2 linked regions of the Arabidopsis thaliana genome follow. The protein of the gene in region 1 interacts with the protein of each later gene in a pairwise test. Each region holds a gene or a part of one and is shown on either strand. Other genes may lie near its edges.

Region 1 (5,546 bases):
TGAGGATGTTTCTTTGCTTGGAGTTATAATTTGATAAACCCGAAAATGCAGATGACTGTGCAAGAGTTTCCCGAGAATTCTACCGTGTCGGACCTGTTACGCAGAGCAGGACCAGGGAGCTCGAGATGGTCAATGTACAGCATCCCGGCAAAGGAAGAGCTAAGGCCAAGACTTAACCAGACACCTGTAAGTGATCTGAAATGCAAGCTGAAGATGGGAGATGTGGTGGAGCTGACTCCAGCCATACCTGACAAGTCTCTGACTGAATACAGAGAGGAAATTCAGCGGATGTATGATCGAGGGCTTGCGTTTTCACGGCCTCACCGTGCAGCTACTGGTACCATGGTTGGCTGGGGAAGCTAACTGATTCTCTTAATTACCTTTGTTCATGTATATATACTATAGTTGCATATATAGTATAATGCTTCAGAAGATTTGTTGTACCTTCGGTATTGTTGATTCCCACACAACAGTGTATATAAGATATGCCTATATGTTCTAAAAAACTGACTCTGGTCATTAATATTTGATTCTCTTACATTCTAAATCTTCAAACCACACATCTGGATCTGGTCCATAAAAACTGGCTCTGGTCATTAATTTTTGATTGTGTTACATTTCTACTTGTTGATACATAAATATTATAGATTTTTTGGTCTATCTACTTATTTGGGTACTTATTTGGGTCGTCTAGAGAGTGGGAAAGAGACCCTTTGAGGAGTTTGGCTTGGAAGGTCTGAGGTTTGTTGTTGCTGCTGTTGTTGTTCTTGAGAGGACTGTCCAGGATCTGTCATTTCTTCATCGTCCTCGGTTTCTTCAGGTTCTGTTGAAACCGACTTCTTCGGTATCACGAGCTGATAATTTGGGCTCAGCAATGTGTCCTGTTCAGGTGGGAGTGGAACACCGGGTCCTGCTATCGATTTTGGCAGAGGTATCTTGTTCCTACTTGCAGCAAGCTCAAGCAGAACCTAAATCAAACATCAAAAACAGAAACTTCAAGATTCAGGAACCAAAAGGCATGGATGTGACAGACAAAAACTTGAGGTTCTCAGTGATACAATTTATGAGGCAAGAGGGTCACACACAGTTCATAAGTCATAAGTAAGAGTGATAATTCCCTAATGATTCACATATACCAAATGACCGATCATATCGCATCTCTTCTCAGACAATGAAGAAGAAGAAACATGGAATCGTCAACAATGCATACCTCTCTTGGAGGAGGCTGTGAGAAGCTGAAATTAACTTTGGATTGAATAGCGAGCTTCACATCATCACAGTCAATGTTGGGTTTGCTAGCATGCTCTGAGTAAACCTGAGCATCTGTCAACACTTCGACCACATACCGGTACCATAACTCCAGAAACTGATGTATCACACGAGGCTCGTAGTCTTCTACACCCATCGACTTAAGCAGAGATTTCACAATCTTAGCATCTCTAGGTACATCTTCTTCACCTTCTCCTGCCATGTTTATCCCTAAACAACTAAAAAAAAAGTAAAGCTACAGAGTCAAATTAAGAACCTTTCTTATACAGAATTGATGTTGCAACAACACAAGTTTCAATCGAATCTCACAAGCAAACATCGTGTAACAGCAACACATTACATAAATCGAATAAATAAGAATTAGAGCTTCACGAATCGGAGATAAGAAAGACAAAGGAGATTCTAACCTAGCTTCATCAATAAGTTCCAAAACACAAGATTATATGCCATAAAGAGGCGATAAATACCTAATGCGAGAGAGAAAGTTTGGTGGAGAGCTAGTGGCAGAAACACGACGGAGAGATTGATGAACGGCGGCGAGGAATCGGGAAATACTAATCTCTGCCACTCTAGATCTGATATTTATGGTTTTGGTTTGTAAATCTGCTGTAACGTTGAGGGTGTAAATGTAATTTAACTAAAACGCTATTTATTACTAGTATTTTGTATTTCACTCGTGCATAGGCCCATTAAAGACCCAAATTAGAACGACGGTCGAATGTATAATATTAAATACCGATAATAGCCTCATTTCTCTTCCGTTTACTTGTCCGTGTGACCGTGTCTACGACGTTGAAATCGAAATTACCACAATGTCCTCGCCGGAGCGTGCTCTCTTGAATCTATTGACGGACATCGCTCTCTCCTTCGACGGCGCAATCCTCGGACTGACTTTAGCTGTTAGCGCCGTCGGTTCTGCTCTCAAGTATGCTTCTACCAACGCCGCGTTGAAGAAGATCAAAGATGCACCCGAAGTCTCCATTTCCGACCTCCGATCACTGCTTCCGGCTTCTGAAGACAAATCAGAGACTAACGATAACAGGAAGAGCAATGATCAGCGAATCGTTGTGGTTCGCGGAGTCGTCAAACCGAAAATTTCCGGTGATGAGGGTTACAAGAACAACAACGTGTTAATCTCTCCGGAGACTGGAGATAAAGCTCTTATCATTCAGAGAACGCAAACTGTACGTTGCTCTAAACCCTAAGTGTTTATGTTTCCCTCAAATTGCAATTGACATTGACCTAATTTTGCTTTGTGTTCTTATCAAAGGCTTAGGTTAAAGAGTTTGGATGATTTCTTCATGATTAGGTGTTCATTGTGATTGATTAAGTTAGGATTATGTAAGTTGGTACTGGTGTGATCTCAGAAGGGAAATGTATGTTTCTAATGTCATCATTTTGTTGTTGACAGTATGTGTATAGTGGATGGAAGAGATTGTTTCAGTCCACTGGTCACCGGTTTATGTTGGAGAGATCATTGCGCAAACACGGTGCTGATTTTACGAGAACGGTAAAGTCTCTCTATCAGCTTCAGAGCTTTCAACTTTGGCTCTGTATCCATGATCAAACTTGTTTTGTGTATCCTTTGCTTTGTGCAGGTCCCATTTGTCATTGTTGGAAAGGATCAGCAATCGAACTCTAGTTTTGTCGCTGTTAACATGGATGGCTCAAGGCAACCTCTTCCGCTTACCACTGTGTATAATCGCTTGCAGCCTATTAATTCTTCGTTTCTTCAAGCCTTTTTGTACCCCGATTATCCTGTGAGTATATATATATTCAAAGAAATTTCTGGTTTTGAGGAACTGATGGTTACTTGTTCTTGGCTAACTTTGTAATCCTTTCTCTTCCAAGGTTGGTCTGCTTGATATAGAGAAGATTTTACCACCTGGGAAAGATATAACAGCTGTTGGCATCTACAGTTTTAATAATGGAGTTCCTGAAATCAAATCGTGCCAAGATCTTCCTTATTTCTTGTGAGATTTTATCTGAATATTTTTCGTTCTTATATATCTGCCTGCGTTCTAGCTCAAATTATTACTTCATCTTCTTCTTTATGTTTTCTCAATCTGTTGATCATTTGACAAGATTTAGTCCATTGTTGCAGAAAGGCTCTATTTGCTGTTCATATATAAATCTTTATGAATAATCTTTGCAGATCAGAGATGACCAAGGACAAGATGATTGAGGACCTTATGGAACAGACCAACTTTATATTCTTGGGCAGCGTTATCTTGGGCATTGTGTCTGTTGGCATCCTTAGCTATGCTGCTGTCAGGTACTGGAGTTGTGAGAGATCAGATTTGGTTTTAGATTTGGGCAATGTTTCGATTTGAAATCTGTTTAACTGTCTTATCTTCAGGACCTGGAATAAATGGAAACAATGGAACCATCAGAGAGAACTGCCACAGAGACCGAACGATTCTGTGGTCGATGATGAACCCGAAGATGCAGATGAAATCCCAGATGGAGAATTGTGTGTGATCTGCGTGTCAAGAAGGAGAGTACCTGCGTTTATTCCCTGTGGACATGTAGTATGTTGCAGGCGATGTGCTTCAACCGTGGAACGAGAGTTAAACCCTAAGTGTCCAGTTTGTCTTCAGAGCATTAGGGGATCTATGCGTGTATATTACTCTTAGTGACCCTGAATCTTCTCTCATTGTATGTAATAGGGTAATGCAATTTGTACTCTCAGAGAATCGGAAGTTAACAAAATAGTTTGACAATGATTTGAAAGTTCGTCAAGTCACTCAATATAGAGTGAGAGATTGTAGAGGATATGAAAGCAAAGTTTTTAAAAGGAAGAAATTTTGTAACCGATAACATAAGTAGCCAAGGATGACTTCCCGTCATGTATCATCACCAGTCTCCGGAGTTTAGCCTGAGTTCTCTCGGAGCAAGGTCTTCTCATGTGCCTCAAGTCCCTGACATGAGAGCTGAGGCATGGTGTGTTGACGGATAACCTGAGAATCTGAACTGCGGGTTTTGGAACATGTTGATACAGTTTGAATTGGAGCTCGGTGAGATCGAACTAGACCCGATTCCGCTTCCACCACCGTGAGGGCTCATAGAGAAATTTTGTCCATTTGCCATTTGAGAAGAACACAGTGAGTTTGATGATTCTTGAAGCTTCTTTGTATTGAGGAAACGTCCACCGGAGCCTCTAGCTCTCTTTAAAGCATGAAGATGGCGAGACTCATGAAGGTACGGCTACAGAAAAAGAAAACAAAACTTTATTACATCAAATCATCAAGATCTTCTGAGTTAGTTTTCCCTCTTTCTCTTTGGTGTTTTAGGCAAAATGGAAAGTGAAAACAGTCATACTTTACGGCATTTGATGAGTTTGTTCTGAGCTTCGAGTTTAGCACGGTGCTTCCTGCGACGGAGAATCGCATGATACTGTTTCGCATTGACAAATATTGGTTCATTCTCTTGAATGTGATGAGGCAATGGCACTCTTGAAGAAACCAAACCCATCATCTCTAAATGTGGCAGCGCCTGCAAAAAGATTTCCCAATCAACCAATCAATGCGCCAGATCGATTCAGAATAGTAAAAGCACAAAAGGCTTCACAGCATATTACCGTTGGTGTTGATGCATATTCAGGAGCCAAGAAACCATTGAAATGTGACGTTTCAGCACATTGAAGAGACCAAGATATTTGACCAGAAGTAGGAGCAGGAAACACAGAGTCTTGAGACACCATCGACGAGGTAGTAATTGACTTAGTATAATTTTCAATAGGCTTTCCCAAGTTTTCGATGTAACCTGAGAGATTGTTATTAACAATGCTGCATCCATAACGCTTATATTCTCCAAAGCTTGCAACTTCACCGCCGCCTGATTCTTCTTCAGTAGATTGTGATGAGGTTGAATCTTGATTTTGCAGCTGCAAACCCGAATGTTTCATCGCGGGTAATTGTGTTGTAGACATTATCATATCCTTAGTCAAGCTGAAAGATTCAGATCCTTGAATATTTGAATTTGTTGTAGGCATTGAGTTTCCCCAAGATGAATCTTCTTTCCTTTGAAACACTTGCATTGTCTTCAAATCTTTACTTCAATAAACTAAATGTCCAAACCAACAAGTCCAGTCATAAATCATATGATATTATTCATGATCCACATAATCAACAAATACAAGAGAGAAATGATACCAAAAGATTATAAAAGCAATCCTAAAACACAGATTCCAGGTTCAATGACACAGTAAGATTGTTTCATGATCTAAAGGGTTCCAAAAGATTCAAACTTTGAACATGGCTAGAACTTACACAACA
Region 2 (7,188 bases), on another chromosome or scaffold:
AATCCAAACCGTACCGGTGCTCGTTACCTTCTCCCGGCTGCGAAAAGGTCATCAGAACAGAGACTGTCCTGCCTCCGGCGCCGGTGAGTTGTGAAGGGAGAAGGGTCTTACTTGGATGTCTTCTCGCTACAGGTTAGATCATTCTCTATTAGTTCTTCACATCTCCACTTAAGCTCAGTGTATCAAAATCCTTAGAAAATGTTGTTATCTGATTCAAAACAGCTTCTGGGATTTTGTCAACTGGTTCAGCCGAGGCAGTAAGCACCAGTAGAAGAGCTGTAAGCAATATATATATCTATGCATACATTGTGTTCTTGACTCAAAACTCAATCTCTTACATACAATTCTCTGCAGCTACGTGCATCCAAGTTACCGGAAAGCGATTTCACGACTCTCCCCAATGGTCTCAAGTCCGTAATCCAATGCATCATCTTTTGTTTGAATTCGATACAGTACTCATACCGCAAAACAGGATTGAAAAATCAAGTCTTTCTCGCAATAATCACAAGTTTGGTTTCTGTTTATATTGTGGCAGGTACTATGATATAAAGGTTGGCAATGGAGCAGAGGCTGTGAAAGGATCTCGGGTCGCAGTACGGTTGTGAATACGTTTCCTGGTTTACTTTGGACATGTAAATGCTAACAGTTTTAACAAGCGTTGATGCTTAACCCAAATGTTGTGTCGCAGGTTCACTATGTTGCAAAATGGAAAGGGATAACGTTCATGACAAGTCGACAAGGACTTGGTGTTGGAGGTGGAACGGTATAAGGCAATCTTACAGAGTCCATTACTGTACTTGAATATGCAAGGATCCTTTACTGATAATAATGAATTTTTGCAGCCTTATGGGTTTGACGTTGGTCAATCAGAGAGAGGCAATGTTCTGAAAGGACTTGATCTTGGTGTTGAAGGGATGCGTGTAGGCGGTCAGGTTAGTTTTTGAAACCGAAAGGCTTCACAAAGTCAGGCCACTCAAAGTCTTGTTTTGATGACCCTATGAGGTTTATATACAGAGATTGGTGATTGTTCCTCCCGAGCTGGCTTACGGGAAGAAAGGAGTGCAAGAGATTCCTCCAAACGCTACGATAGAGGTAACCAAGTTGAATGGATTGAAATTTTTGTTGGCTTCTAAAGTGGTGTTCATTTATGTTATCTTTCTTTTGCAGCTTGACATTGAGCTGTTATCAATCAAGCAGAGTCCTTTCGGGTATGTGAAATCAATCAACTAATACACTGGGTAAATTTGATCGAAAAAAGTGCCCTGAAAGCTTTCTTTTCGGTTTTATTCTGCAGGACGCCAGTGAAGATAGTTGAAGGCTAAAAGGACTAATGAAGCCAACATTGTACCAAGATTTTCTGTGTACATTCAGTAAAAAACTATAAAATTGATCAAAGCTATGGAAGATTCAACTGTATGAGAAGAATCTGTTTAATGGATTATACCGGCTAGTCCGGTTTTGTAACCGCTTTATAACTGTGTCTCATCACTCAATTCATACACTTTTGGCCGTTTTGCAAAACATTGAATCAATTCAATCCCATGAGGTGGTAAGATACTTTACTAATGGTTAAAATTAAGATCTAGCCTAGCCTCCATGCCTGTAGTTATCTTGGACTGTGAGATCTAGATAGGGTACAAAATGGGTGATACAAATTTCGTACCTTTTTAATGGAAAATTCCTACCAAACACGATTGGAGGGTTGATCTAATACATCAGTGATTGAAAGTTGTAGAGCCCATGGGATTAGAAGGTGTCTTTGCCTGACCGCCTCTTGCATTAGCAGTCCCATGCCCAAACTGATTCCTGGCGTTTGCTGCTTCTGTTGCCGTGACCGACTTCTTTATCTTCAAAATCCACAATGTATATACAAAATCAACAAGAAAATCTTCAATATATAAGTTTCTCTTCTACTCAGAACCATAATCTATACTATTAGGATGTTTAAAATCATGTGTTAAAACTTACAGCCGCAAGTCGCTCTTTGTGAATATCTGTTGTCAACTGCAAAACATTATCCAAGGAAACAACCAAAGATGTTAGGAACTATTTTGTAAATAAGACGAATTGATAAAATGCAGATCTCTAATTCTTACTGGCTTCCGAAATGTCTTGAACTCATCACTGCTAAAACCAGGAGGCCTAATATTCCAGTTTCTTTCTACATTTAAGGAGAAGATACCAAAAAGAAATTACTCATTGTAATTGGAATGAGAAATTGAAAGAAAACGGGCAGGTAGATAATATTGATCAGAACGAACCAACATGGAGCAAGATGTCCTTAGCCTCTAGAATATCTGACTTTCTATGCTTGGCTAAAGAACAGCCAAAAGTTGTGATCTGGGTTAAAGGAAACACAACGAGCAGGAGTTAGAAAAAAAAAACTCATCACAGGACAGAAATGTTTGACTCTTAACCAATGCGGTGTGGGCTACTTACTGACTCCACAAAATCTTCAGCAATATCAGAAAGGATGTCTTCAACCTCTGGATCCAATTTCTCTGACGGGTCAATCTGTGGATAGACAAGGCATTTTAAATTTAGAGAAAAAAATCAATGGATATCATGCAGAGAGTTCAGTGTTGAACACCATCAAAGTAGCCCCTAAAACTATCGATATATGTTATTACTGAATCTGTCAATAGTCATCATACATGCTTTTTGGCTTTCTATGGGAGGTATTATTAGCAAATAACTCAATATCTCTTCTATTTTATTTTTATCAAATACATTCCCCTTTATCTGTAAGAGATCTATCCAAGTAGAAGAAATCAATCACACATTAAGTAAGAATCAAGCGTGAGAATGAGAATACTGGTCAATATGCAAAATGGCTACCCAAAGTTGAGAATATGAAGAGAGGTCAGTGGATACCTGTTGAAGTAGCTCATGGATGCTTCGTTTCCCCAGGATACGATCATCAGACGGCTCGGTCTCTGCAGAAACTGTTTTAGCATGGTTTCCTGGTTGAGCCACAGGAGGCTGGCTCGGCATTACCGGAGAAGTAACTTTCTGATTTACCAAACCTTGGACCCGGGTTGGTTGATGTGGGTGAGCTAAAGGCTGCTGCGGAGATCTCAATTGTTGAAGTTGCTCTTGAGGCTGATGTTGTTGTTGAGATTGTTGTTGCTGAGGCTGTGGAGTTGCTGCTGACGTAGAAATATGTTGCTGAGGAATATGAGGTCTTTGTTGCATAGAGGGAGAATTTACTTGTGGTCTATACGAAGGAGGTGGCAAAGGCGGCTTCCCTTGGGGAGTAGATGATAACCAAGGTTGATTGATAGCTTGCAAGCTTTGTTGTGATGCACCAGTAGATTGGACATTAGGAGAGCTAATAGGTGAAGGTCTCATAAGGCTATGTCCTTGAAAGTTCTGCCAAAAGTAAAATATAAGGAATTAAAGTGTGCAAACAAAGTTGTTGTTAACAAAGGAGTCACAAAGCTGGAGTTCCTATGTCAAGATACAGAGGCCAGAAGGGTAAAAAATACATACTTGAGCAACAGGAGATTGGGTACTTGTGGAGGAAGCTGGCCTTAGAGACGATTGAGTTGGTCTCTGTTGGTGCTGAGTCATCCCACTCGGCCTTATTTGGGAACCTGAGCCAAGTGTTCCCATCATCCCAATTCCCTGAGTTCCTTGCATCATTCTAACCTGAACACACACATACAGAAAAAAGTTGGTATTTTTTTTGTAACAGAGCACAATTCTTTGAAATGTGGCACATATGAGAGAACAAAATCCACCTGAGGGGAACTTGTATTGGACGTAGCTTCTGACATTCCAACAGTTCCACGACCTAATCCGCCGTATTGTTGCCCAAAAGAGCCGGGAAAAGCAGAAGGCGAATGTTGAGAAGGTGTAGGAGAAGGACTCGGAATTGGGGAAGCCGGAACGCCAATCGCCATACCACCTCTTTGTTGCCCACTAATAGGTAAAGACGAAGACGAAGAGGCTGGCGCTGATGAGGAAGATAACAATGGCGACGAAGCGGAGGAGAAGTGAGTGTAAGAGGAGTGTTGTTGCCATGGTCTAGAGTACGCCTGCGGAGGCGGCCGTACTAAAGGCTGGGAGAGATGTTGCTGCTGTTGCGTCGCCGGAGATGTCACCGGACGCGTGTATTGAGGAGGATTAGGGTTTGGATTGAGCGATGGTGATTGTGGAGCTGGGGAAGAGGGAATAGAGGAAACAACGGAGGAGGGACTCGGATTTGTGGAAGGCGTTGGTTGAATCTGTGTTAAAGTCGATGGTTTCGAATCCGACGGCTGAGGAGGTGTTTCCGGTGGCTGAGACGCCGTCGAGCTTTGCCGTGGCTGATCCATGAAAAGGTTGTGAATGTGGAGGGAATAGAGATATTGATTGAGTATATAGAAATCTAATTAAACCGAAATTGTCGGTACGGTATTAAACAAGTGAACCGAAACTGCAAAGCTCGATAATTATTAATACCGGACCGGCTTTAACAATTCCTTTTCTCTGTTGTGTGATTAAAACGATGAGTTTAACCCCAAAGAATAAATGAGAGTTAAAACGCAGCGTTTCATTATGCTCAGATAGCAAGTTTCTTCTATTGCTGGAAATGTAGCTTCCAAGTTAACTAGTGTCAAAGTCTCTGGTCTTTTTCTCACATACTCAAGAGTACACAGCGATCAAATTAGCTAGTGTCACGACAAATTGGAGATTTGTTTGCAGCCTTTAGAGCCTTATAGCAAAGAAGAACTGGCATTGATTTTGATATATTTTGTGGATTGGAGAAGATATTGTCAAATTTTCAAAGCTTGTGACGTTGCCAAAATTATGTAGGTTTAGTGATAATAATTCAGGATTCTAAATGTGAAGTGTGGATAAGTGATAATAATTCATGTAGAAAGAAACATTGTCTAGCTAAAGATGACCATTGTTTGGGTCAAAATATATAAATAACATTATGATCAAGAACTACCATCACATAAAAGATAACTTCGATGTAATAATCTCGATAAGACTTTAAGAGAAAACATCAATGTTCATTAGACATGACAGGATCAAATCTTTTCTTCAACGTACCAATCTGCTTAAGACTCAACCCAAAAGCTTTCATAAGCAACTCCTCATTGATCCCTGACCCAAAAACCACGGACGGTATCTTCTGAATACCAGGGTTTTGGCTATTAAGTCCGCCGACAATCGTGGCCGTAACATCTCCGACGTTCATCTGAAAATGTACAAGCCCTTTTGGGTAAACCATCATTTCTCCTTCTTCCATCACTTTAGCGTAAACCTTATTGTTCGAGTCCACAAAACCAGAGTAAACCCGTCCTTTAACCAAGTGGGCTACTTCCGTCGCCCGCGGATGGTAATGTGGTGGGTTAATGGATCCGGGTTTGAGATCAGCCCGGACAAACGAGATGCCTAATGTATTAAGGCCGGGGAAGTTTTCTGGGCCTACTGGGACGGTGGCGAACCCCGTCTCCGTGAAGTTTCCGGCAGTTTTTAGACCGGAAAAGACAAAATCTTCGGTGGTTACTTCGGAGGAGTTTTTGCAAGGGAGATTGGTGGAGAAGTGATGGTCATGGTAAGGAGATGTCACAGGTTTTGGTATGCAGAAGTCTTGGATGGGATCAGGGTCGGAAGCTAATGTGAAGCATACATTAAAACAAAGAAGACAAAGAGCTTTTAGAAGAAACAAAGTGTTTGCTTCCATTTTACTTGAGGTCCATGTGAAGAAGAGTTGTGTTACATCCGGTTTAAATAAGCATATGTATATCTGGTGGGGGTAAATGAGAGACTGGTTAAGATGGTTACTTTTTATCAACCAAAATTTCGTCTGTGAAATTAAGGTGTGGGTTTTTGTACCAAATGAAAAACCACGTTTGGATATGTGGTTTTGGTTATGGGAGTGGTTAGGCCGGTACATTGACTGATAAACCCCTTTTGTGGCTTGATTGACACATCTCTTATGAATTTACTATTCGTCTATGTAATTCATAGTTACAAATTAATACAATTGTGCATAAAAATGGAAATATAACTGGAGTCCAAGGTTTCGGATCCTAGTGTCAATCCCGGTTTATAATGTAATTTTGGTATAGGCATAACCAAATCTATGTCTTGGGCTGAAGCAGGGGCCCGTATAAGGCGTGCTGTGTGCGCATGCCATGATATTCAAAATGATGAATTTGTTGCTTAAGCTTTTTGTTATCTCCAAGGCATGATTAGAGAGGCACATGAACATCATTTTTTCGGTGGTAAAGGTTTAGGCAGAGTGTGAAACATGACTTATTTCTTTGATATAACAAAGTGAAGATATTAGTTCAAAAAAAAAAAAAAAAAAAAAAAAAAACAAAGTGAAGATAAAGAAATGATTTTTAATATATTATAGATTTAGAGTCTAAAGCATCAATCTTTGATAATTAAATTTTTTAACATCATAATAAGAATTTAATTATCCAAACGATATAACATTTGTTCTTCAAAGCAACCAAAAACAATTTGCAAAGAGAATCAACGAAGTCTTCTAGCTTCTCTCTCGGACTCCAGCAAGGTGAGAATATCTCCCTCTCTGACAGGTCCTTTAACGTTCCTCATGATGTAACGGTCCGAGTCAGTGAACTTCACTCTAACCTGAGTCACTTGACCCCTTGATCCAGTCCTTCCCATCACTTTCACTACAACAGCGTGCTTGATCTGAGAATCCATTCTGATTCAACAAAACAAAAACATTCAGAGACCAAATTTTACAAAAGAAGTGAAAATCCTTAGAAAAAGAGAATTGTTCACATTTGAATCAAGACTGTATAACCTTTATAAACCAATCACAGCTCTGGAGAACAACAGATGCAAACAAAGCAGAGAAAACACTACAAAAACACTAATCAGTAAAAGCAAAAAAACTTAAAGATCACATCATCTAATGATTTTTAACAACTTCTCAATTAATGATCAATTGCAAAATGCAGAACCAAACAGCACTTACAAATTTGCAACACCTGATGAGTTAAGAAGCTAGAAGACGATTGTATATATCAGGTTTCATTTAACTGAGTGAGAAACTAGGCTCATAAATCTAACAAGAAAGAGAGAATCCTACAGATAGATTCCAAAGAACAGAGACAAGGATAAGTAGTAAGAGACTGTAACCTATCCAGTATATCTAGCAGTGTACCTTATAATCAGACTACAAAAGAAATTCCAGAAAGAAATAAACTTGAA

Evidence for each region.
Region 2: the proteins of TAFII21 (region 1) and TAF12 interact in a two-hybrid assay, tested with the Arabidopsis thaliana proteins (one study listed by BioGRID).

The regions. Positions count from the first base shown.
Region 1 is NC_003070.9:20,213,399-20,218,944, forward strand, and holds TAFII21 (TATA binding protein associated factor 21kDa subunit), read right to left. Parts: upstream 1,868-5,546; 5' UTR 1,737-1,867; intron 1,488-1,736; 5' UTR 1,472-1,487; coding exon 1,211-1,471; intron 969-1,210; coding exon 678-968; 3' UTR 501-677; downstream 1-500. Other genes in the region: RSH3 (RELA/SPOT homolog 3), read left to right, coding at 52-363; SPL2 (E3 Ubiquitin ligase family protein), read left to right, coding at 2,082-2,453, 2,681-2,779, 2,868-3,029, 3,121-3,242, 3,425-3,544, 3,629-3,905; NF-YA5 (nuclear factor Y, subunit A5), read right to left, coding at 4,183-4,476, 4,591-4,764, 4,850-5,308.
Region 2 is NC_003074.8:3,102,480-3,109,667, forward strand, and holds TAF12 (TBP-associated factor 12), read right to left. Parts: upstream 4,348-7,188; 5' UTR 4,320-4,347; coding exon 3,744-4,319; intron 3,652-3,743; coding exon 3,493-3,651; intron 3,373-3,492; coding exon 2,875-3,372; intron 2,515-2,874; coding exon 2,440-2,514; intron 2,341-2,439; coding exon 2,262-2,340; intron 2,162-2,261; coding exon 2,097-2,161; intron 2,005-2,096; coding exon 1,969-2,004; intron 1,848-1,968; coding exon 1,716-1,847; 3' UTR 1,401-1,715; downstream 1-1,400. Other genes in the region: AT3G10060 (FKBP-like peptidyl-prolyl cis-trans isomerase family protein), read left to right, coding at 1-132, 223-278, 355-410, 536-593, 689-763, 843-932, 1,015-1,092, 1,168-1,208 and 1 more; AT3G10080 (RmlC-like cupins superfamily protein), read right to left, coding at 4,997-5,893; AT3G10090 (Nucleic acid-binding, OB-fold-like protein), read right to left, coding at 6,481-6,675.